2 linked regions of the Solanum lycopersicum genome follow. The protein of the gene in region 1 interacts with the protein of each later gene in a pairwise test. Links are inferred from orthologs where the notes say so. Each region holds a gene or a part of one and is shown in the gene's direction. Other genes may lie near its edges. The genes, in order: SOS1 and SOS2.

What was found.
Region 2: the proteins of SOS1 (region 1) and SOS2 interact in binary tests that used the Arabidopsis thaliana proteins (3 or more experiments, as listed by UniProt). The link is inferred for Solanum lycopersicum from reciprocal best matches to the Arabidopsis thaliana genes SOS1 and SOS2.

Annotation. Positions count from the first base shown.
Region 1 is NC_090800.1:384,719-397,949, reverse strand, and holds the end of SOS1 (plasmalemma Na+/H+ antiporter), read left to right. Parts: intron 1-399; coding exon 400-455; intron 456-1,528; coding exon 1,529-1,713; intron 1,714-1,824; coding exon 1,825-1,872; intron 1,873-1,984; coding exon 1,985-2,092; intron 2,093-2,879; coding exon 2,880-3,111; intron 3,112-3,414; coding exon 3,415-3,717; intron 3,718-4,597; coding exon 4,598-4,695; intron 4,696-4,976; coding exon 4,977-5,108; intron 5,109-5,191; coding exon 5,192-5,410; intron 5,411-5,493; coding exon 5,494-5,700; intron 5,701-6,302; coding exon 6,303-6,570; intron 6,571-7,260; coding exon 7,261-7,565; intron 7,566-8,001; coding exon 8,002-8,334; 3' UTR 8,335-8,535; downstream 8,536-13,231. UniProt on the Arabidopsis thaliana protein: Acts in electroneutral exchange of protons for cations such as Na(+) or Li(+) across plasma membrane. Involved in Na(+) and K(+) homeostasis.
Region 2 is NC_090811.1:3,242,624-3,254,608, reverse strand, and holds the end of SOS2 (calcineurin B-like interacting protein kinase), read left to right. Parts: 5' UTR 1-25; coding exon 26-190; intron 191-813; coding exon 814-876; intron 877-994; coding exon 995-1,066; intron 1,067-2,082; coding exon 2,083-2,190; intron 2,191-2,270; coding exon 2,271-2,345; intron 2,346-2,449; coding exon 2,450-2,503; intron 2,504-3,385; coding exon 3,386-3,511; intron 3,512-4,033; coding exon 4,034-4,123; intron 4,124-4,505; coding exon 4,506-4,628; intron 4,629-4,799; coding exon 4,800-4,919; intron 4,920-5,442; coding exon 5,443-5,559; intron 5,560-6,075; coding exon 6,076-6,132; intron 6,133-6,216; coding exon 6,217-6,291; intron 6,292-6,397; coding exon 6,398-6,493; 3' UTR 6,494-6,733; downstream 6,734-11,985. UniProt on the Arabidopsis thaliana protein: Involved in the regulatory pathway for the control of intracellular Na(+) and K(+) homeostasis and salt tolerance.

The DNA of each region.
Region 1 (13,231 bases):
GCTCAAAGGGAGGATGATCGCCTAAGCCTTTAAAGGAACCACCCATTTCATTAACCACCAATGTGGGTCTTTTTTCATTCTTCAACACCCAACCTCAAGCCCAGGGCTGGGCATTTGGTGTGTGGGCAACTTTTTGGTGTACTTGTGTACAACTGATTTTGTGTTGCACTGGGGAGGCACTCCCTTGGTTCCGCTGTTTCAGGACTTTCATCCTTGACCTTTCGAAAAATTAGTACTATTAAGGAGGATTAAGCTTTAGTGGAAGTTATTTTAGGCGCTTGTTTACATCAAAAACCCAGTTGACTATAGTTTTCATCGGAGTAGTACTAATTCTTGTTCTTAAACTTTATCCTGTGAAACAGAAAACCTAATTGCTCATTTTGGTTATCTTTTCTGCAGTGGAGTCGTTATAGCTGAAGGAATTCTTGCTGGTGACAATATTTTCAAAATCTATGGTACTTCTGCTGTAATTGACATTTGTCTTATGAAGACAGAAGTAACATCTTATCTTACTACAGCCAAACCCTATTTATGTTCTTTCTTGTGTTACGTGTAATATCTATTTATTTTCTGTAGATTTTGCCTGCAAGTGATATTTATCAAAATGAATTTGGTACTGATGGCCTTTAACAGATCTCATATACTACTTGAAGTGTCTTCCGACTAAGAGTTAGCGGACATTAAATAAGTGAAGGAGCTGTTGGTGCTACTTGTGAGAAATATGACACGGGAAAGAGTTTATGTGAATGTGTGTAAATAATTGTTTTACATTGAGCCTTATCTTTATCCATACTTCACATATAGTGTATAATACAGATTTTCAGTATGGGACACAAAGTCTAATATATACACTAACCATCTGTACTTCCCCTCAAGCCAGTGCATATCAGTCGCATGTACCAAACATATAACAGATGTGACTAATGCGAAGACCAGTGAGTGGCTTTGTGAAAATATTTGCAAGCTGATCATTTGATTTCACAAATTTGTTAACAATATCTCCTGATAGTATCTATTCTCTGATGAAGTGATAATCAATATCTATGTGTTTAGTCATTTCATAGAACAGTAGATGTGATGCAATATGAAGGGTCGCTGGATTATCACACACAAGTTCCAAGTTCCATCTGAACAATTTCTCCAAATTGCAATTCTGTAAGCAATTGTATTATCCAAACTAGCTACAAGTTGCTATAATCATTGCTTGATCTTATGCTACTGCACTAGATTGAGCAACCACATTCTGTTTCTGCTCTTCCAAAACACCAAATTACTTCCTGCTAAAACACAATATCCAGCCAGAAAAAAAAAGCGCCATGATTGGATTTTATATTTTTTACTTTGCCCAATTTTTGTAGTTTGTGCCTTTCTCTTTTGGCCTCTCTATTTACACGAGTATTATGATTGTTTATATGTATGTGGGGACGGCTAGTTTCTGTTCTATTTCAAATGATAGTCTTCTACACTCAGTTCAACTTCCATTCTAGTTAAACTACATCTCTGCTAAATGCTTTTTAATGTATTTCAGATAATTCGTGGGGCTACCTCATCCTTCTTTATGTGCTTATCCTTGTCTCACGGGCCGTTGTAGTTGGTGTATTGTATCCATTTTTACGATACTTTGGCTATGGTTTGGACTTGAAAGAGGCTTTTATTCTTGTCTGGGGTGGCCTTCGAGGTGCTGTAGCGTTGTCCCTTTCATTGTCAGTCAAGGTAACTATGTGCGGGTGCTTGATCTCTCCAAGCCCTCTCATTCATTCTGCAAAAAATTCTTACCTAAGTGTGCCTTTGTTTATGACACTATTCCTTCCTGGCTGTTTTCAGCGTTCCAGTGATGGCTCCCAATACATCAGTTCTGATACTGGAACTCTGGTAAGTAGAAGAAAAGAAGTGTTAGTGGGAAATGCAACAAGTTTGAAGTTTTCTATACTTAATTATCTTTTAGCTGTACCTTTCTAGTCATACAGGCCTTCTTCTGTTGCAGTTTGTTTTCTTGACTGGTGGGGTTGTATTTTTGACGCTCATCATCAACGGTTCAACCACACAGTTTGCTTTACATTATCTGGGAATGGATAAGCTATCAGCAGCAAAGGTAGAGTTGATTTCGACGTGGTACTATTTTGTCCTTGTTGGAGCTTTAGAGGTGGAAAAATGGTTTTTTTTCCCCAATGGTTTTCGATTTCTTTAAGGGATGTTAATGGAGTAAATGGGTGGTCTAGGAAGACGTTTTTATATCCAACCCATTTTTCAACTACGTAAAATGGGTGACAAATGGAATAAATAACTATTCATCTAACCCCATTTATGCTAGCTCATCTATCATCAGTTAACCATGTTTGCTGCCTGAACTGTTTCTTTATGTGGTTTGCCGTTGATGGCAATCAAATTTGTCAGCTCCTCGGAAATTGGAATATGCCCTGCATAGCAGAATTTGTATCTTTTATGGACCGACTGCTTTTCTCTAACTGACCTAAAAAAACACTACATGATATTGAATTTAAGCAAAAATATGAAAAGAAATCACTTTACCTCCTTATCATAAAAAGAAAAGGATATTACCTTCACATTTCAGAACTGTTCAAAGACCAAATCCTATGATGGCAGGATGAGATGGAAGACCTCTGCCTCTGACATGATAAGGAAATCTATATGCTTGGAAAACAGGGAGGGGGGGCATAATGAATTAAAAGAGAGATGGTATCACTTGGATAACTAAAGTAAGTAGTTCAATTAGTCAATTACTTTTTTAAATGAAACACTAACCTTTCGTGTTGAACAGTAGATGCTTAGATAAGCAAGTAAAGTCCTGTTATTTGTAGCTTTATATTTTAAATCTTCTTCAATAGATTCTATAAATAACATAGTTCATCTCATTGCAGAAGCGCATATTGAACTACACAAAATATGAGATGTTGAATAAAGCTCTGGAAGCATTTGGTGATCTTGGAGATGATGAGGAACTAGGACCTGCTGACTGGCCAACTGTTAAAAGATATATTACTAGCCTAAATGATGTGGAGGGTGAACCAGTGCATCCTCATACCTCATCTGGAAATGATGATAATGTGGACCATATGCATTTAGAAGATATTCGGATCCGCCTGCTAAATGGTGAGAACATTACATTCTCAATTTATAGTTCATCTTGTTTGTGATCTGTTCTGTAACTTCTAGGTCATTTTCCTCAATAATTGCTGTTTCACTTATGCAATCGATCATATGACCACTAACACACCAAATTACCTTCCATCAGTACAGTGTATATGGAGTAGAGCGTCACTCATAGGTGACTCTATGCAGTGTTCATCTGTACAGTAGAAAACCTTATATTTTGTCTATCCTAGTGAAAATTCTTGCTCTTCCATTGATCATGATATTCAAATTTGATTGTTAAAAGTGAAATTATGTTTCCAGGTGTTCAAGCAGCATACTGGGAAATGCTCAATGAGGGCAGGATCCCACAAACTATAGCGAATCTTCTAATGCAATCTGTGGAGGAAGCAAATGACGTAGTATCGCATGAGCCCTTATGTGATTGGAAGGGTTTAAAATCTTATGTTAATATCCCAAATTATTACAAGTTTCTTCAAACAAGTTTTGTCCACCGGAAGCTTGTTACATATTTCACTGTTGAGAGGTTAGAGTCTGCATGCTATATCTGTGCTGGATTTCTCCGGGCGCATAGAACTGCCCGACAGCAACTAAATGAATTTATCGGTAAGTAACTAGTAATGATTTCTATATAGCATCTTTTTGGCACATCCTTTCCAGCGTGTTATGATTCTTTTCGATTATGTTTGACTTCCCCTGCTCATCTTTGGTTGGACCATTTCTTTCTGCCTACAAATTATCAGTGGCGAAGGTTGAATGCTGAGACATTTTAGCTGAACATAACAAAGCCTTTTCCATTGGCCAAAAAGTCTTTTTGCATTTAAAGATTAGATAGTCAGCTTGAATAGTTTAACGACGTCAATTCTTATGGTGGTTTTCCTAACCTTTTTTTGTTGATGAAGACTACTGATTAGGTCTTTGATATGAAATTTCTCAATTGTTCAGTTTGCTCGATAAACAATAATCTGAGGATTGACTTCTTTAGATTGTGACTTCCTACAATTGTGTTGAAGTTGAACTATTGCATTCAAGTGACGCATTCTTCTATATTTTAAGGTGCGTGATGGTCTATAAGGCATAAGGTGAAGATAGTACTAAGAAATGTTGAAAACTATAGATATCTGGCGTGATAGGAGTGAAAAAGCTTCCATCAGGTGGTATCCTTGTGTTTATCTTTATGCTGTTGGTAGTAATGACTGATAAAGGTTGCACATTGGGCTAAAAAGCTACTATTATTACATTTTTTTCTCTTATGTGTTCTCTTCCCAAGAGAAGGGAGAAAAGGAAAATATTTTACCAAGAACCTTTTCTTATGCTACCTAATGAATGCCTCAACTTTAGCACCACTTTTGTGGCTTTTTTGTTTTTATTCTCTTTATGAGGAAGCTTTCTCAGCAGTGAAATCCTTACAGGAGAGAAAAAATAAAGAAAAAGAATGATATGTATTGGAGTTGGAAGTTTCTTATGCAGGCAATGATGATTTCAGGTGAGAGTGAAATTGCTTCCCTTGTTATCAAGGAAAGCGAGGAAGAAGGAGAGGATGCACGGAAGTTTCTGGAAGAAGTCCGTGTCTCATTTCCTCAGGTATACAAAGACAAATCTCTCTCAATGAGCTCAATATTTCCTGCTAGACTGAAACATGTTGAATAAAAATACTAGAGGGTGCAGCCTGGTAGTACAAGAAATTTATGCTACCTGCATTTTTTTGCCAGCTTTCTGCATGCTTGAATCATGGTCATTATATTTTGAAATCAAGAATACAGCTGTCTGGTTTCTGCAACGTATAAATGAACTTTATGTGTTGACAATATCCAGTCTGCTTTTTGAGTAATTTTATTTGGTTATAAAAGAAAGTACATACTCAGGTTCTCCGAGTTGTGAAAACCAGACAAGTTACTTATGCGGTGTTGAATCACTTGATTGATTATGTCCATAATCTTGAGAAGATTGGTATATTGGAGGAAAAAGAGATGGCACATCTTCACGATGCTGTCCAGGTGAGCATTTGATTCTTATCTGCTAGTCCAATTTCATTGCTTTTGTCTTACATCTGATTTCATACATGATGTATTTTGTGCAGACTGATTTGAAAAGGCTTGTAAGAAATCCACCTCTGGTTAAATTTCCGAAAATTCGTGATTTGATTAGTGTCAATCCTTTGTTGGGAGCTCTACCCCCTACGGTGCGTGAGACACTAATTGGTTCAACCAAGGAGATAATGAAGTTACGTGGTGCAACCCTCTATGAAGAGGGATCAAAGGCAACTAGAGTTTGGCTTATTTCAAATGGTGTAGTGAAGGTAATTAGTAATGTAATGGTTATTACAATAATAACTTTTTAGCCAAAAACATCTTTCTGACAATATGATATCGTGTTTGATAGTGGTCAAGTAAGAGCACAAGTAATATTCATCTACTGCATCCAACTTTTTCACATGGGAGTACTCTAGGTTTATATGAAGTGCTGGTGGGAAAGCCTTACATCTGTGACATTATAACGGATTCCGTGGCTCTCTGCTTTTCTGTTGATAATGAGAGGATACTTACTGCTCTCAGATCTGATCCAGCTGTAGAAGATTTCTTTTGGCAGGTATTTTGAATGATTATCATTTTCAACTTTTCTTTTGGCTTCCATACATACATATGTCTATGCTTAACACAGCTTTCTCGTCATTATCAGTATAGTGAGAAATAGCAGAGTTCTTCAACTACTGAAAGAGTATTCTGAGTTAAGACACAAGAGGAGATTTTGGGTCCCTAACATTGACTTTCTTACCATACTGCAAGTTTTTTTTAAAAAAAAGAAAACTTTCTCACCATATTTTGCATGGTTCCTCCGCTATCTTTTAACACAAAAGAAAAGTAAGAACTCAAGTACATCTCAGCAAGGAAGGACTTAATTATACTAAGGTCTAGAATTGCTCCGATTGAGTGAAAGTGTTTCAGAAAAGTTGCCTTTTTTGCTTTACCTATCAGAAGAAAAATATATCACCTTGAATGGTCTTCAACGATACTCCAAGGCTTTGTTGTTTCTGCTGTTTGCATTTCTGTCTCTACAAAATTAAACTGCTTCCCAATATAGAAAGATCCCATCTGAGGGAAGAGTGCCACATTAAATGGAATAGAGGTAGTAACTAGAATATAAGGTTTTTTTGAAGCAGTGACTCACACAAAATATCTTGTTATCTGCAGGAAAGTGCACTTGTGCTTGCCAAAGTCTTGCTTCCTCAAATGTTTGAAACGACAAAAATGCAAGATATGAGAACTCTGGTTGCAGAAAGGTCAACTATGAGCATATACATAAGAGGGGAAAGTTTTGAATTGCCTCACCATTCCATTGGTTTTCTGTTGGAGGGATTTGTTAAATCTCATGGTTCACATGAAGGGCTTCTTTCAGCTCCTGCACCGTTACTGCCTTTGGCATTGGAACAACAAAGCTTCCACAACACAGAAGCATCAGGTTGCTTCTCACCCCTTTAGCTGCAGTATTTCAGTATCCCACTCTTTGTAATTAGGGGACAGCTGAAATATTGGTTATACTAAGTGTTATTAGAAGCGAGAAGCGCAAAAAAGCTCTAAATTCTATCGGCGCTTAAAGTGCAAATAAAGCGCCAGCTTTCATGAAAAAGGGTGCAAAAAGAGAAAGAATACAAATATATTTATTTTAGACCAAGACTAATAATTGTAAGTACAAACAACAAATATATGGACAGGAAACTGAAAAAAGATAACGGTGAAGTGATATATCAATTGTGCAGTGTTGCTTGCCTCTTCAGGAAATGCTCGTTGCCTCTTCAGGAAAGACCTTGATGACGATACTAACACCGCACATTAAGCGAGGAAAAACACTCTTAACATGTTTGAGCCTCGCTTCAGGACTTAAGTGCGCCTTTGACAACACCTGTTTATACTACCTCCCATATGGTCTTTGATTATAAACTTACACGACTGTTAAAAACAAAAAAATTTGTGGTATGCTGACAATTTTATTCTCTCTTAAGGTTGGCATATATTCAATTAATATTTTTTGCTTCAGAAATTGATAGTACTTGCAACTTCGATTATTTGCATAAATCCTCTCTGATCTATAGCCTCATCTCAGATAATTCTGATTAATTTGTATTTATTTATTTTTTTGGTTCAATATTAGGTGTCCATGCTGCTAGTTTTTCTCATCAACCTTCTCAGTATCAAGTTGAGACAAGGGCAAGGGTGATTATGTTTGATATTGCGGGATTTCTATCAGGCAGGGGTCTCCAGAGAAGATCATCTTCGCTATTATCTCACTCAATTGATCATCCCTCAAGGTCTTTTAGTAGAGAGCTTGGTGGTTTAATGAGCTGGCCAGAAAATACTTATAAGGCTATGCAACATAGACAGGATGTGGAACGAACTGGTCAACAGGAAACCAATATGTCTACCCGCGCAATGCAGCTAAACATCTTCGGAAGCATGGTTAGTAGGAAAATTTATTTCACAATTTCTTTGGCCCATAACAAAGTTTACTTAAATGTTAGGCTTTGGGGAATAGAGCAACTGCTCAAAACAGTGTGTCGATTAGGCCGGAATTCTATTTACTGTTTGACGGAGCATGCCATGTCCTTGTACCTTTTTGGTTTTGGAGCTAACGAGTTTGTGTTTGATAGACAACATTTTTGATAACATAAATATAAAATGTTCATCTATAGTGGAAGTGTTAAAATGAAAACTCGTGCCAAGTTTAAGGGTCTGTTTATGTGTTTAGTCATTATGATTTCTCCTACTCACTCACATCTATCCCATTCCTCCACCCACCCCTTCACTCACATCTATCCCGTTCTTGTCTTATTCATCATCGAGTTGAAATCACCAGTTTTCGATATTGGCTTACTTGCTCTTTTTTGGTTATTAGATAAGCGACACAAGAAGTCGTTCGAGAAGTTTTCCTGGAATTAGTGCAGCCAAAACCTCTCACAGTCAGTCATATCCAGAGGTTCGATCAGATGGTGTACAAACACTTGTTTCTGTTAGATCTGAAGGATCTACCACATTGCGAAAGAAGGCTCAAGTGCAAGGAGAGAATAAAGATATGAGTATACAACTTCCAAGCGCACCAATTGAAGAAAGTGACACAAGAGAGTACTCGAGTGATGATTCTGGTGGCGAGGATGAGCACCTCATCAGAATTGATTCGGGAAGACCAAGCTTTCCTCAATGGATCGCAGAGGAAGATAAAACATCATAGGCAGACTGAGCCTTTCCACACTGTGATTATGTGAATACTACTATGAACATTGATTTATGTATCGTTTTATGTTTGAATAAAGTAGCATATATTGTTCTAAAACAAGTTCATTTGAATAATGTATTGCGAAAAAGAAGCGCTGCTTTGTATTGAGGAAGTTATGAACTCACTTATATATGATGGTCTCAAATTTTTATTTCCAGAGAAGCTCTTCTACATAGATGTCCAAAATGTATAATGTACAATCTTTCTCTGAAGAAAAAGCCAACATTCTATTGATCCTGTTTAATAAGATTGATAGCTTTTTATTGTGACTAAAAGCTGTAATCTCCTAATTTCTGAACAGCTACTCTCAAGTATATAATTGTCTTGTTTTGTTGAATTATAGTGTTATATACGGTAGTAAAGATGTCAGGTGGAAAAAGAGCAGTAGTAAACAACAAAAAATATGATCACTCAAACAATGAAAACAACATGTCATACTAAGAAGTAGGAGAGTAATAATAATATAATATTGATAAAGGGAACTATTAGACAACACTTGGACTACCTATTATTTTTTTGTTGTTGTTTCTCGCTCGGTATTCATTATCCATATTGGAGTCTGATTAAATCTGAATTCGCATCAAAAAGTCCCATATTGGGGGGTGAAGCCCTTCCTAATAAAGGTGACTCCGTACACAAGCCCGACACCTTTTGGTTAAGGATGAAGAAGTACTTACAACTCCATTAAACTCTTATTGAAACACAACTATCTAATTATCAATTAATATTTTACTTTAATCCTCAATCTTTATATTTTCTATTTAGGGTTTCATCCCCATTCCTTGATAAGTTATAAATATGACATACTCTGTCTAATCATCTCTCCCCAAAATTTCTTCGACCTACCTCTATCTCTCCTAATACAAGCACCCTAAGATCCAAGTATAATGCTTGAGGAGTTGAGGGTGAACAAGATAGAAATATATTGGGCTCAACACTAACGAATCGATGTATACATTAATTTGTTAGAAGTAGTGTTGTTGTATCATCCTTTAGTATAATGCTTGAGGAGTTGAGGGTGAACAAGATAGAGAAAAGTGAGGATTAAATAGTTCAGATATGTAAAAAAAGGAGGTGCATAAATCTGTCAATTAAAAGGTGTGAGAGGTTGGTCGTAGCAATAGTTAGAAGAGGTAGAGATGGACCTACAAAAATTTTAGTGAAGATGATTTAATAGGAGACACACCACTAACTGAGTACTCGTCCTTAGATAGAGAGGTACAACGACAATCAAAAGTTAATATAAATGGTTAGTAGGTAACGAGTATGGTCATTTATTAGGTGGGTGAGATAAGAATGGGGTCCTTTTCTTTTTAGTAATAGTTGTATATAGTATCACATAGTTTCTTATTCATATATATATTTCTATTATCTATTGCTTCATTTTACTTTGAATTTTGATCATATTTTATTGTCATTTTTTCTTCTGACAATCCTTCTATATATATGAATAATTTTTTTAAAAAACCGATGAACTACTGAAAACAACCTATATACTCCACGATGATAGATATAAGCTAGGGTTTGCATATGTCTCATCATCTCTAAATCACACTTGAATTTACACCAGATACATATTTGAATATGTTGTTATATCCCATCCAAGTCCATTTCATGGGATTTTATATCATAAAATGATGTGAAAACTGCATTCTTTTGACGTCATCAATATTTTTTTAATAGAAAAATTAAAAATTAATTGAAATCCTAAGGACACAAATCACAATATAAAGTGTATATTTTTATTGTATATTATATATCTGAATGAGAATCTAATTCTCTATTCATTTGGGATTTGAGAAAAAGCAAAAGGTAGAGGGATAATATTCTCACATATATCTAGGTTTATTTATTATCTCTTCCTCCTCCTTTTTTCCTCTTTGCTTTAATAATAATCTTTCTTTTTCTTTTACTCTTTTGGCTACTTGTCTTTTCCTTTATTTTCTCTCTAAATAAATTCATGTAATAAAAGTAACTGTAATACTTGAATTTCAAAGTATTTTCCTACTTCCATTGTATTTGTGTGTATATCGAAATATTTCACTTTGTATCTCTTTTGCTTTCTCCGTTTCATATTAATTATGATATTTCTGGAACTAGGCACAATCTTAATTTTATCATAAAAAATGTGTAGAATTATTATAAACAAGTAAAAACGAAGGAAAATATTTTAAGTGTATTATTTTGTAAAATAAATAAGTGGATTAATTATACTTTTTACACTTGTATAAATTCTTAAGAAGAAAAATAATATTCTATAGAATTACATAATATTTGGAGATCTGACCTCCTGACTTATAATTTCTTTATTGAAGTGAGGAACTATACTTTTTATGGAAAGTCAAATCAAAAACTCTGTTTAAGGCTGAGCAATAATCTCAAAAAGTCATTAACTCATTTCAGAAATAAATCTAAAAGGTATAATAATAATAATAATAATAATAATAATATTTTTACAAATGAGAATGAAAGAAGATAGTCTTGAGAAGTAAAAAGTTTTTTTGTTTAGATCCTTAGGAGAAGAGACAGTTAATGCACTGTATTAAATATTATATTTATATTCAGAATAACGAACAAAAATATAGCTATTATGGAAAGTTTCTCATAATATTATGTCCTTAATGAAATAATTAACAGATGATAATATTATTTGTTGAAAAAATCATCTACTAGCTATCAGATTTTCCACTTAAGCATATCTAACTTATAAAATTATTCATACCTACTATAATTAAATAATTATTAAAAAAAGTTGTGCCCAAAAATGTCAAATAACCAGGTCTAATCTAATGTATAATTGTTCCAGAAAAGACAAAAAAAATAGATATTTTTGTTTAGTTTGTCATACAGCTATAAAATATGCCTGCCATAATTATTAAGTTTAAATTAAAATATACGCCTACTATAGACAAACTTTTAATTTAAATAAACTTTACCATATAATAAAAAGAAACTAATTAATTATTTTTGATTCACCAGATATTCTCGCTTTTGAAAAGAGTCAGTAAAAAGTAAAAATATAAATTAACTTAAACTAATTTAAAATTTAAATAGAATTTTTATAATCGAAATACCGTAACATTTCACTAACGAAACAAGTTTCTTTCGAAATCAATTTTTTATATTATATTTTTTTTTATAATAACATTCTACCTCTAATAATAATCACATTTATTGTAACAATACACCCTTTGTAAATAGTCAATCTCAAATATTTTCCATATCTTATCCCTTTCTTTCTCCCATAGTTTTCAAACAAGGTCATACATAGTCTAGAATTCCACCTCACCAACCTATTAGTAATTAATAGATTAATTTCAAATTAAAACATAAAATCATGCACATTACACTAATGATTAATTAATTAGGGTCCTACATATAATTAAACTTTAAACATAGGGTGATGATTTTCCTTTTTTTTAACCAAATCTTGTTTTTATACCAATTGTTACATATAATGATTTGTCCTTCACAAAGTGTTATGGGAAATGGTCCTTTTTTTATGAAACTTATTATATGGTAACATGTGCCTCCTATGATAGCTACTCATTTTAATTTGTCCTATATTTAAAATTTATGGACTATAGACTATGGACCTTCCACCAACAATATTATATTTTCTTAGTTTTAGTGAAATAAAAGTAACATAAGTGCAAACATGTATCAAAAAGAAAGTTTGACAATGTCACTTACTAGTTATATTAACTTTACTTTTATCTCATCAAGACATCATTAGTATGTTTGTTATAAGTGATTTTATGCCTCTCAACTAATTTAACTATTATTTTTTCATTAACCATGATTTAGATAAATATAAAAAAAATCACCTTTGATTTGATCACTAGATTAAAAATATAACTTTAAAAGTCTGGAAAATAATTATCACTAAAAATTATTTGCTTTAAAAAAAAGATTATTTTAATTTCTTAAAAATAATCGGTGATAATTATTTGATTTTTTTAATTGAAGAATATCTTTTCCTGCTCAAATCTTAAATGTTAAGAGGGGTAAGGCGAAATTGAATTATATTATAATTATGGAGTTATTAAATATAAAAAATGTAATTTTTTTTTTATCAACCTTTACCTTTTTTTTTCTCTTTATTTTTTTTCTTTAATAAATGAACTTCTTTCCTTTTTTTCTTTTTCTTTTTTCCCCTTTACTAATTTCAACTTATTATACTAAGCCTTTAGGATGCAATATAGTCAAAGAGATAGTTCACTTTAGCCACATGCGTTGCTTTCCTCCTAAGTATTTTTTTCCTTATAACCTAACACTTATTAATTCTTTTTCAAAAAATAGACCTAACACTAATTATTTGATCATATTGATTTGTTAATTGTCAACATGATCATAGTGCGTACCTTTTCTCATCTCTCTTACTATGGATCTTCACAAATTTAATGAGATATAAGCAAATCAATTGTCAGATTGATATTACTACTACTACATATTTTAGGATATTGTAATTCTAAATATAGTCTGAGATATCACAGAATTTTTATATTGTGGTATCAGAACGTACTTGAGGGAGTAAAAGTGAAATTATCCCAAACTTTAACGTAGGAGAATTAATTTTTTTTTTATAGTTACACAAATATTATAACACATTTAAATCCATAAATTTTAAAAAAATTATAGACATATAAAGGATACTCCTATATCACACTTTAGAACATAATTTAAAACTAGAGTAACATTTTTGGATTATTATTAGGACCTTTGTTCAGTCCATTATTCTGCTTAACTACGTACGTACAAACAAGATCCCTTTATAACTCAAAATAGTACTTTAAGAATCTTCAAATTGTCAGAAATATAATTTTAAAAGCAAAACATTTTTCATCCTAAT
Region 2 (11,985 bases), on another chromosome or scaffold:
ATCTGTGGGAAATGAGTGTTCAGTGATGAAGAAAGTGAAGAGAAAGCTTGGGAAGTATGAAGTTGGCAGAACTATTGGTGAAGGGACATTTGCCAAGGTTAAGTTTGCACGAAACACCGAGACTGGAGAGAATGTTGCCATTAAAGTCTTGGCCAAAAGTACCATTCTTAAGCATAGAATGGTTGAACAGGTATTAAGATATACTTCCCTTCAAACACTCGAGTATATGCTTTACATGTCCTGCATTTTTGTTATTTTATTTTGATAACAGTGGTGTTCACATATCCCATATTCAAAGGTTGGAGCTTGATAATTAGAAAAGTTATTCTAATCTGTGAAGTGATTATTATTGAACTTAGGTCTGAAATCTTTTCTGTCGAACTTCAGTAGGCTTTTCTGATCTGATGTGAATCAAGGGTAACCATGACAGCTTCAGTGGTGGACTATTAAGCTCACATTGAACGCCGTAGCAATGAACTCTGTTATCAAAATTGAACTATGTGAATGTGCCTGGTATCTGAGCTGAATTCTATTAGTGAACATCAGCATGTTCTCCATTATTGAGTAATTATAGTCAAATTTTAGTTGGTTGATGGATTTTTAAGCCTCTTAACTGATGGTTGGCAATAGTTTAGCTGTGTAAAAGAATTAAGATTTGATCATATTGAATTTTTATTATCTGTTTGCATTTGAAATAGATTTCTGTGTTAATAGAGCACATTCTGGGGTCTGTGTGTGATTATTCTACCGTCCTTGTTATCCATGTCTGGCATTTTGGCTGATCAATGTGCTGTTCTTTGAGATGGTTTCCAGATCAAAAGAGAGATATCTATAATGAAGATTGTCAGACATCCTTGCATAGTTCGACTTCATGAGGTAAAAAGAAAAAAAGAATAAAAAGTATTATATTACAAATACTACTGTGAGTTTGGTTGTTCTATTATCGTTGCTACTTGCTGTTGCTGATGTTTATTGATTTTGTGTTCCCTTGTAGGTTTTAGCTAGCCAGACAAAAATATATATCGTTCAGGAGTTTGTCACTGGAGGAGAGCTTTTTGATAAAATTGTAAGATTCCTTAGAATTTTCAATAAGATTTTTCCTTCTTTAATCAATAACTCTTGCAGACTTCTTGTTCCTTGTATGTGATGATGGATAACTCTCCATCTGATAATGACTAGGAAGGTAATCTGTAAATGAAAATAGAGGCACGATTGAGACATTGTTGCAACTAAGATGTGTGCCCATGACGAATTTCTATGAAGTGATAATCTTCATTTATTAGGATGAGCTGTAGTTTGGGTCAAGATACTTATGGAGGATGGGGAAGTAGATAATGGAGTGAGCAGCAGATATCTTTGGTGCATCCTATACAATATTCACAAAGCAATAGTCTGGTGGAGTAATCTGTATAATGAGAAATAGAGGCATGACCGAGATATCTCTTTTTTATATTTGAAAAATAGAGGCATGCTGAGATATCCGTAGAAAAAGACATTCTGTATTTGGATAAAGTAATTCCAGTCCATGCTTTTTATGTGGAGAGCTTGGAGATCATTTTCTTTACTCTCAAAGCAGTTAAGAGTGTGTTGAGTTACCTTCTAGTAAGTCAAAAATTCCATCTGATCAAGAGGTTCCTCTGGATAGGTGTTACCAGTCTTATTTAAGCACAAGATAGTGATCGGAAATGCTTAATTTGTCAGTGACGATTTAGCTTTAAATCAGTTTTTCTCTGTCAGAGATGAACTCTATCGAGAAGGATTATTTTCGCTTATGAACTTTGTACATTTTTTTCAGTATTCCTGAATAGTTGGTATGAAATGCATGATCCAGCCTGGTTCTGATCAACTAAATCTCATCCTCATCAAACATATAAATTGTTGGGTTACTTAGGTATAAGCTGGTTCATTGATAGTAGTCCAGTTTCCAATTAGGCACTTGCGTCTTTACTAGTTTACTTCAGCTCATGGAGCTTTAACCCTTTATGGTTTATTTTGTCCTTCTCCCTATGAGTTATCAAGGTTTGATTTTCAAGATTTAGTAATGTATCTGTCTCTTCAATTCTATATTCGTTCAATTTATAGGTTCATCTAGGTAGGCTTTCTGAGGATGAAGCAAGGAGATACTTCCAAGAACTCATAGATGCAATTGCTCACTGTCACAGCAAGGGTGTTTACCACAGAGATTTGAAGGTTCGCAATTGCTGATTGGAAGAGATATTTTGTGAAAATTATATATCTTAATCTTTTAACTATTGCTCCTTGTTCCCCAGCCTGAAAATTTGCTTCTTGATTTCCAAGGGAACTTAAAAATTTCTGACTTTGGGCTTAGTGCATTGCCTCAACAAGTAAGCAACATCTGATGTTAGTTGCATTAGATTGTATATCTATTTTTGTTTCTTTCCTTGTTCATTAGAGCTTCTAAATGGGAATTTACTCAAATCTCTAACAGGGAGTCGAGCTCCTCTATACCACTTGTGGGACTCCAAATTATGTTGCACCTGAGGTATGATGCATATATATTTTGAATGTTCTTCTTGTTTTGTACATGCAACCCTTCATTCTTCATTTGATTGGCTTGCTATCCCAAAACCCTTTGTTGAGAATATAATTGAGTAATAAAAAATGTACTCTCTCTAACACCTTAAGCTTTTAGATGAGATGGTCACACACTTCAACATGGTATCAGTGCCAAGCAGAGGTCTTGAGATCGAATCTCACCACCACCCAAAATTAAGAAGAATTTCCACGTGTTTGGCCTGAATTTATTCATGACAGTTTCTTATCATTAATATGTAACTTGCACCAGCTATACTTATTGTTTGGTTCTGCCTAGATTTAAGTTATATCATTAATATGTCACTGAGTATTGTTTGATTCTGCCGTGCTAGCTCCGACTTTCAGGTTCATTGATTAGAAACTTAGGTCCTCTTATCTATTTTCCCATTCCTCATACATCCTCAATGATGTCCACAATAATAAGCACCGTGTGTATTTGTTTTATCTGCAAGGAGCTTGAATCAGAAAGAAGCGAAGCAGAGGGGTGGTTGTCTTTCATTTTAATTCATTGCTATCCCTTTTACCTAGCATGATCAATTGGCTTTTGATTAGTCATCAAATGAGAGAGAATCAGAATTTATTTCCCTTCCATGAGCTCTGTAGTAATATACCTTCAAATCATTGCAGTAACTGTCAGTTACCTTTCTTTGGGTAACATCATAACCTTGTGCTGAATTGTTTAATATAAGAGGTTTGCATCAAGTTGAATTTGTCTGAACTATGTCAATTGCTGAACATATGTTAATTTGCTTACTATGTTTTCTTATATTCGAATGTGTTTGGACTCTTTCTGTGGTAGCTGGCTTATTACTCTTAGTTACTTCTTCAGGTGTTAGGTAACCGAGGTTATGATGGTGCTGCTGCGGATGTGTGGTCATGTGGTATCATCCTTTATGTTCTGATGGCAGGATATCTTCCATTTGATGAGACAGACCTTCCTACCTTGTATACAAAGGTTAGATGCAGTCATCATGCATTTGTAATGTGTTAAATGGAAGCATAGATAATTCTGTCAAATGATTCTCTTTTTCTTCTTATATAGTGACAAATGCTAAGGATCATAGGTCATATGAGGGACAATATTTGTTCTTTTCTCATATGTATATTATTCATTTCTGATTAGGATTGAGGTGTAATGAGTTGATTGATATATTTATTCAGCTCTCTGACCTTTGTGTGAAGGATAAGCTCTCTTTCACTTGGCATCGACCACACTGCTCTCATAAAAAATATTGTTCCGTATTTTTAATTTCATCTTCATCTGCATGAGTTTCCTCCTTGTGTTTTTTATTATTACCATTATTTGTTTTTTGTTTGTTTTTTATTAGATTAATTGGGGCTTTAAAAGAACTTGACATTACTTGTACACGGCTTGCTATATGTTAAAGTTATTGTTTGCTCTATGTGTGGCTTACTATATGTTAAATGTTATGGTTTGTTCTGCACAAATTTCTTATTGCTTTTAATATTGACACAGATCAAGGCTGCTGAATTTTCCTGTCCATTTTGGTTTTCTCCTGGTGCAACATCGTTGATTCAAAAAATCATTGATCCAAATCCTCAAACTGTAAGTGCACTATATTTTCAACCCTGAAAACTATGGTGTCCGATTGCCTATTTGTCACTTAATTATTCAATCTACTATAAGCTTATAACATTAAAGTTGTACTGGAAAAACAAATCCCTCATGATGAAATATGAGAAGCCCCGTAACATGGATTAAATTCCTTCCAAATTTCCCGGATTGGTTATAGAAATCCTTTTTGAGGTCATTTTAAATGTGAGAAATGCCTTAAGCATGCCTTCTGCTCATTCTTTGCTTTTGTTCAGTATAAGTGTTCCTTTTCTCATTCCCTCTTTCTTGGTTAATTTGTGAAACTTCAGCATAACATGTACAAAAGTCCTTTTAGTGTTTTCATAGTGATTTACTCAGAACCATGTACATGCAGAGGATCAAGATTGATGGAATAAAACGAGACCCTTGGTTCCGGAAAAACTACAGAGCTGTTAAAGCTAAAGCAGATGAAGTAGTGAATCTTGATGATATCCATGCTGTGTTCGACGACATTGAGGTTGAATCTTTTCACATTCGTCTTCTAGTATGCTAACTAGTATGTCTGTGTGAGGAAGTGATCAAGTTTAAGATAAATTGTACTCTGGATTTAGATTAACTGAAGTGATTGGCCTGATACTTCGATGTTCTCACCCATTATAGGTTTGATATGTTCTATTTTTATGTGCAGGATGCATTTGTCAGTGAAAAATCAGAAGATAGTGAGAGTGGTCCCTTGGTAATGAATGCATTTGAGATGATAACACTATCTCAGGGATTAAATCTATCCGCTTTGTTTGACAGACGTCAGGTACAATGATTAATTTAGTTCATGGACCAAAAAATAAACCATACCCGACGTTTCCAGATTTTAATTCATCACAACGTCATCTGTTTTATCTCTTTCTCCCGCTTCTTCTTGTAAGCTTTTCGTTTCTTGGATAAGGAAGAGAATCTGATGGGATATGTAAATTGATTCTTCCTTGAATTTTTAGTTAGCATGCTCTTATATAGAAGCACGTTAATTTATCTCTCACTATTTTTGGCCTCTTTTTTTTCTCCTTTTTCCTTGTAGTCAAGTGGCTCAGAGCCAATGCTACATAATATCAACTTTTCTAAATCTAATTTTAGATCAAATACGTCGCGATTATTTTTTCGTTTAAAAAAAAAAGTGTCAGATATGATCTGAATAGCTTATATTTTTAATGATTGAGTTATTTATGTTTCTACAAATTTAAAAATGCTGACATGTGTAGTAGGTTGTCTCTTTGCTATTAAGGTTTTGACAACTTCCTTCTTATAACAAAGAGTAATTTCCTCTCTCATTCTTACAGGATTATGTCAAGCGTCAAACTCGATTTATTTCCCGCCAACCTGCTAAAGTCGTCATTGAAACTATTGAAGCAGCTGCAGAGTCGTTGGGTCTTAAGGTCCACACACGCGATTACAAGGTATATTTCTAACTCTCCATATTCAGGGACAAATGATTCTCTTTTATTCAAATTTGAATTCAATCAGAATGAAGCATTGTTGTAACTAAATAATCAGTTTCCCATTGGATCAACTGTAATTTTCAGCATTTTTTTTTACCCTTTTCCCACAATCTATTAAACAGCAATTTCCTTTCAACATCAAAGAAAATGGAATATACAGGAGGAATTCACCCCTTCAATTTTTCCTGCTCTTTATAAGGAGCAAAATCGTAACTGTGCCACATAAGCTTTAGTCGCATTTTGCTTAACACTGAATGAATGATGGTTGTAAATTTATCTGTTGCTTAAGATGCAAACATCTTGGAACTAGGGGCAGATCTATAATTTTATAACACAGAGCGAGGAGTACCACTCCTTTTTGTCACTGGATACAAACTAATGGTAATTCTATCGTGTTCTTAAACGAGAATACCCTGGGTAAGTTTCTCGTTATTGAGTGGGAATTGATTTATTGAACCACTCTTCTCATTGCAGACAAGAATTGAGGGGGTAACGGCAAATAGGGCTGGTCAATTTGCTGTTGTGCTGGAGGTAACTTTAAACTTAATAAACCGATTCATCTTAAGATCGGTGTTTCTTATTTTCATTTGACCACTCTTTCTATAATTTGTGAAGGTTTTCCAAGTAGCCCCTTCCCTTTTTATGGTTGATGTTAGAAAGGCTGCTGGGGACACTCTTGAATATCACAAGGTTGCTTCTACACTCAACTTTGACTGATTTTTTTTTTTTCACTATAGCTTGCATTACATACTTATATTTAGCTTCTGCACGAAAATGACGTTATGTGCATTTGCAGTTCTACAAAACCTTCTGCACGAAAATTGACGACGTCATTTGGAAACCGAAGGAAGGCATGTCAAATGCTGTTCTGCTTAGGACAAGGACTCGCTGAACCAGATTTCTGGGAATGAAGTGAATCACTTATCAATTTGATGTGCTCCGAAGACGTTCGTTGTGTTAGGTATAGTGTGTGTAACTGCATGTTGTTAATCTTTTGTTCACTACATATCTTAAGTGATAAATCATGGGCTCAAAAGCAATACAAGTAGGGTTGTAAATGAGACGGTTCGATCAGTTGTAACCAATTTTTCGGATATTATATAATGTATAACCAAAACTAGACTTTTCAAAACCATCCCAATAATATCGGTTTCTCTTTGGTATCGGTACAGTTAGTTTTCATTTTTAAAAAAAAAAATAAATTATCACCTCAAAGTATACTATTAGTAGAATATTTCTTTATTGCAAACGTGTTTGCAAAGAAGCACTTCAATTCTTCACCAAGAAGTCAAGAATGTAAAACCTTATTGCCATATTGTTTGATCTTAAACATTTAATACGAGTGCTTGCGTAGGTTTTAGTGTATTTTTTGATAGAATGCCTATTATAATATCTTTTAATTTTAAACTTAATTAACTAAAGGTTAATTAAAGAGCAAAGTCCCACAGTTCTAAACCTACATATTGTTTTTTTTTCTTTCAAAATTCTTCATGGACGTCCGTTAATACCTTAGCTACGGATCGAGTTGTCCAAGACGGTCAAAATGATCAATTTTCAAGGTCAAACAAGTCCCGGAGAAGGTTAATCCCCCATTTTCCTGATTTTTATGTGCTATTGTGCAAGAATTTTTAGTGATTCAAAATTCCGATATCATATTTGCCAAAAATATTCATGGACGTCTGATAAGACCTTAGTTATGGATCCAATTGGCCCAGACGACCAAAATGACCCATTTTTAAGTTTAATCGGGCTCCGGAGTAGGTAAATCCCCAATTTTATCGATTTTCGTGTGATATAGTCCATGAATTTATGGTGATCCGATTCCAATGTCATTTTTGCTGAAATTTTTCAGACCTTAGCTATGGATTCAGTTGACCCTGACGGCAAAAATGACCCATTTTCAAGGTCAAACGAGCTCCAGAGCAGGTAAACCTCCGATTTTGCCGATTTTTATGTCTTATAGTTCACCATCTTTTTTGGTGATAAAAAGTTCCGACGATATTTTTTTTGAAATTTTTCACGGAAGTCCGTTGATACCTTAGTTATGGACCCAGTTGGACCAGACAACCAAAACGCTTCATTTTCAAGGTCCAACGAGCCCCGGGCAGGGAAACCCTCATTTTTGCTGATTTTTGTGTGTTATAGTCAATGAGTTTTTGGTGATTCAAAATTCCGACATCTTTTTTGCCAAAATTTTTAGTGGACGTCCGTTAAGACGTTAGCTACGGAATCAGATTGCCCTGACGACCAAAATGACCAATTTACGAGCCCCGAATTAGGTAAGCCCCATTTTGTTGATTTATGTGTACTATAGTCCATAGATATTTAATAATCCAGAATTCTAACATCTTTTTTTGTCAAAAGTTTTCATAGACGTCTATTAAGATGTTACCTATGGAGCTAGTTGGCCTTTACGACTAATACAATCCATTTTGAAGGTGAAACGAGCCCCAGAGCATATAAATCCCCCTGTTTTGTCGATTTTTGTGTGCTATAGTTCACGATCTTTTTTGGTGATCTAGAGTTCCAATGATTTTTATCCTCAAATTTTTTGTGGAAGTCCTTTAAGACGTTAGATATGGAGCCAATTGGCCAACACGGCCAAACCGATCCATTTTGAAGGTCAAACGAGCCGCGGAGTAGGTAAACCCCTAATTTTATCGATTTTTAATCCGAAATTCCAACGTCTTTTTTGTCTAATTTTTTTTAGGACATACGTTAATACATCATTATAGAGCCAATTGACCCTGACAATCAAAACAACTCATTTTCAAAGTAAACTTTATTTTGTCGATTTTTGTGTACTATAGTCCATGGATTTTTCGGTGATCCAGAATTGCGATGTCTTTTTTGCCCAAACTTTTTTTGGACGTCCGTTAAGACGTCATATATGGAACGAGTTGGTCTGACGGCCAAAACGATCCATTTTGATGATCAAACGAGCCTCAGAGCTGGTAAATCCCTTATTTTGCCGATTTTTTAGTGCTATAGTCCACGATCTTTTTTGGTGATCCAGAATTTTGATGTCTTTGTTAGCTAATTTTTTTGTGGAGGTCCTTTAAGACGATAGCTATTGAGCCAATTGGACCTGACGGTCATAACAACCCATTTTGAAGGTCAAATAAGTCACGGAGCATGTAAATCCCCGTTTTGCCAATTTTTGTATGCTATAGTCTATGAATTTTTGGTAATCCAGAACTCTAACGTCTTTTTTGCCCTAGTTTTTCGTGGAAGTTCGTTAAACGTTAGATATGGAGTACGTTGGCCCTGATGGTCAAACAACTAATTTTTAAGGTCAAACGAGCCCTGAAGCAAGTAAATCTCATTTTGCCAATTTTCGTGTACTATTGTCAATGGATTTTGGGTGATTCAGAATTCGGTCGTAGTTTTTGCCCAAATAATTCATGGACGTCTGTTAAGATGTTATCTATGGATCCAGTTGGCCTTGACATCCAAAATGACTCATTTTGAAGGTCAAACGAGCCCCAGAGCAGGTAACCGATCATTTTACCGATTTTTGTGTGCTATAATCCACATTCCTTTTTGGTGACCTAGAATTTCGACGTCTCTTTTGCCCAAATTTATTGTAGACATTTGTTAGCACGTTAGTTATGGTACAAGTTTGTCTTAACAGTCAAAACAAATTATTTTAAAGGTCAAACGAGCTCAGAGCAGGTAAACCACCGATTTTTCCATTTTTGTGTGCTATAGTCCATCGATTTTTGGTGATCCAGAATTTCGAAGTCTTTTTTGTCAAATTTTTTCGTGGACGTCCATTAATATGTTAACTATGGATCATGTTAGCCTTCATGGACAAAACAACTTATTTTCAAGGTCAAACAAGCTTCGATGCAGGTAAACCCCATTTTACCGATTTTTCGTGTACTATAGTCTAAGGATTTTTGGTGATCAAGAACTTCGACGTCTTTTTTGCCAAACTTTTTTGTGGATGTCCATTAAGACGTTATCTATGGAGCAGTTGGTCATGAAGGCCAAAACGGGCTATTTTGAAGGTCAAACGGGTCCTGGAGAAGATAAAATCTCTTGTTTCGTCAATTTTTGTATGTTATTGCCCACAATTTTTTTGGTAATCCAGAATTTCAACGTCTTTAAGACGTCCGTTAAGACGTTATCTATGGAGCTAGTTGGCCCTAACAGTCAAAAGTACCCATTTTGAAAGTCAAACGAGTCTCGGAGCAGGTAAACTATCCATTTGGTCGATATTCATGTGCTAGTCCATGTATTTTTGATGATATATAATTTCGATGTCTTTTTTGCCCAAATTTTTTGTGGTCATTTGTTAAGATGTTACATATGGATCCATTAGCCCTAACGGTCAAAATGATCCATTTTAAAGGTCAAACGAGCCCCGAAGCAGTCCATGGATTTTCGGTGATTCAGAAATTTGATGTCTTATTTGTGGACGTCCGCTAAGACGTTATCTAGGGAGATAGTTGGCCCTAACGGTCAAAACGACCAATTTTAAAGGTCAAACGAGCCCCAGAGCATGTAAACCCCTCATTTTGCAGATTTTCATGTGTTATAGTCCACAATCTTTTTTGGTGATCCAGAATTCTGGCGTCTTTTTGTCAAAAGATTTTTTAAACGTCCTTTAAGACGTTAGCTATGGAGTCACTTGACCACAATGGCCAAAACGACCCATTTTTATGGTCTAACAAGCCTAGAGCTGGTAAATCCCCCATTCTGTAGATTTTCATGTGCTATATAGTTCATGGTATTTTTTGGTGATCCACAATTTTGATGTCTTTGTTACCCTTATTTTTTGTGGATGTCTGTTAAGACGTTAGCTATGGAGCTAGTTGGCCTTGACGGTCCAAATAACCCATTTTGAAGGTCAAACGAGTCTTGGAGAAGGTAAACCTCCTATTTTTCCAATTTTCGTGTACTATAGTCTATGAATTTTTTATGATCCAGAATTTCGACGTCTTTTTTGCTTAAATTTTCCCTGAAAGTCCGTTAAGACGTTTTCTAGTGGAGCAAATTGGCTCTGACGGCCAAAAAAACCCATTTTAAATGTCAAACGAGCACAAAAGCAGGTATACCCCTCATGTTACCAATTTTCGTGGGCTATAGTCCATGATCTTTTTTGGTGATCCAGAATTCTGATATCTTTTTTACCCAAAATTTTTGTGGATGCCCCTTAAGACGTTAACTATGGAAATAGTTGGCTCTGACGGTCAAACCGGCCCATTTTGAAGGTCAAATGAGCCCCAGAGCAGGTAAACCCCTTACTTTATCGATTTTCGTGTGCTATAGTCCATGAATTTTTGGTGATCCAGAATAGTGACGTCTTCTTTACCCAAATCTTTTATGTACGTCCGTTAAGACATTAGCTATGGAGCCAGATGTTCTGAAGGCTAAAACGACTCATTTTCAATGTCAAACGAGCCCCAAAGCAGGTAAACCTCATTTTGCCAATTTTCGTGTGATATAGTCCATGGATTATTGGTGACATGAGATTCCTACGTATTTTTTGTTCAAATTTTTATAGACATCCGTTAAGACGTTATTTATGAATCTGGTTGGCCGTGACGACCAAAACAACCTATTAAAAGGTCAAACGAGTCCCAAAGCAGGTAAACCCATTATTTTTATCGATTTTCGTATGCTATAGTCCACAATCTTCTTTGGTGATCCAGAATTCTATTATTTTTAATGCCCAAATTTTTGTGGATGTCCATTAAGATGTTAGGTGTGGATCCAGTTGTCCGTGACGGGCATAATGACTCATTTTGAATGTTAAATAAAGCCCTCGGAGAAGGTAAATCCCTAATTTTGCTGATTTTCGTGTGCTATGGTCCATAAATTTTTTGTGATTCAAAATTTCGACTTCTTTTTTCTAAATTTTTTCGTGGAAGTTTATTAAGATGTTAACTATGAATCCAGTTGGCTCTGACGGCCATAGTGGCACATTTTCAAGGTTAACGATCCCCGGATCAGGTAAACCCCCATTTTGCCAATTTGCGTGTAATGTAGTCCATGGATTTTAGGTGATGTCTTTTTTGCCTAAATTTTTTGTGAAAGTCCATTTAAACGTTAACTATGGATTCAAATTGCCCTGACAAGTAAAACAATCAATTTTCAAGATCAAACGAGCCCCGAAGCAGGTAAACACCATTTTGCCAATTTTTGTGTACTTTAGTCCATGAATTTTTAATGATCCGAAATTTCAACGTCTTTTTTGCCCAAACTTTTCATGGACGTCCATTAAAACATTATCTATTAAGCCAATTGGCTCTAACGAATAAAATGACCCATTTTGAAGGTCAAACGAGTCCTAGAGCAGATAAACCCTTCATTTTGCCTATTTTCGTGTGAGATCGTCCACGATCGTTTTTTGGTGATCAAATTTTTTGTGTACGT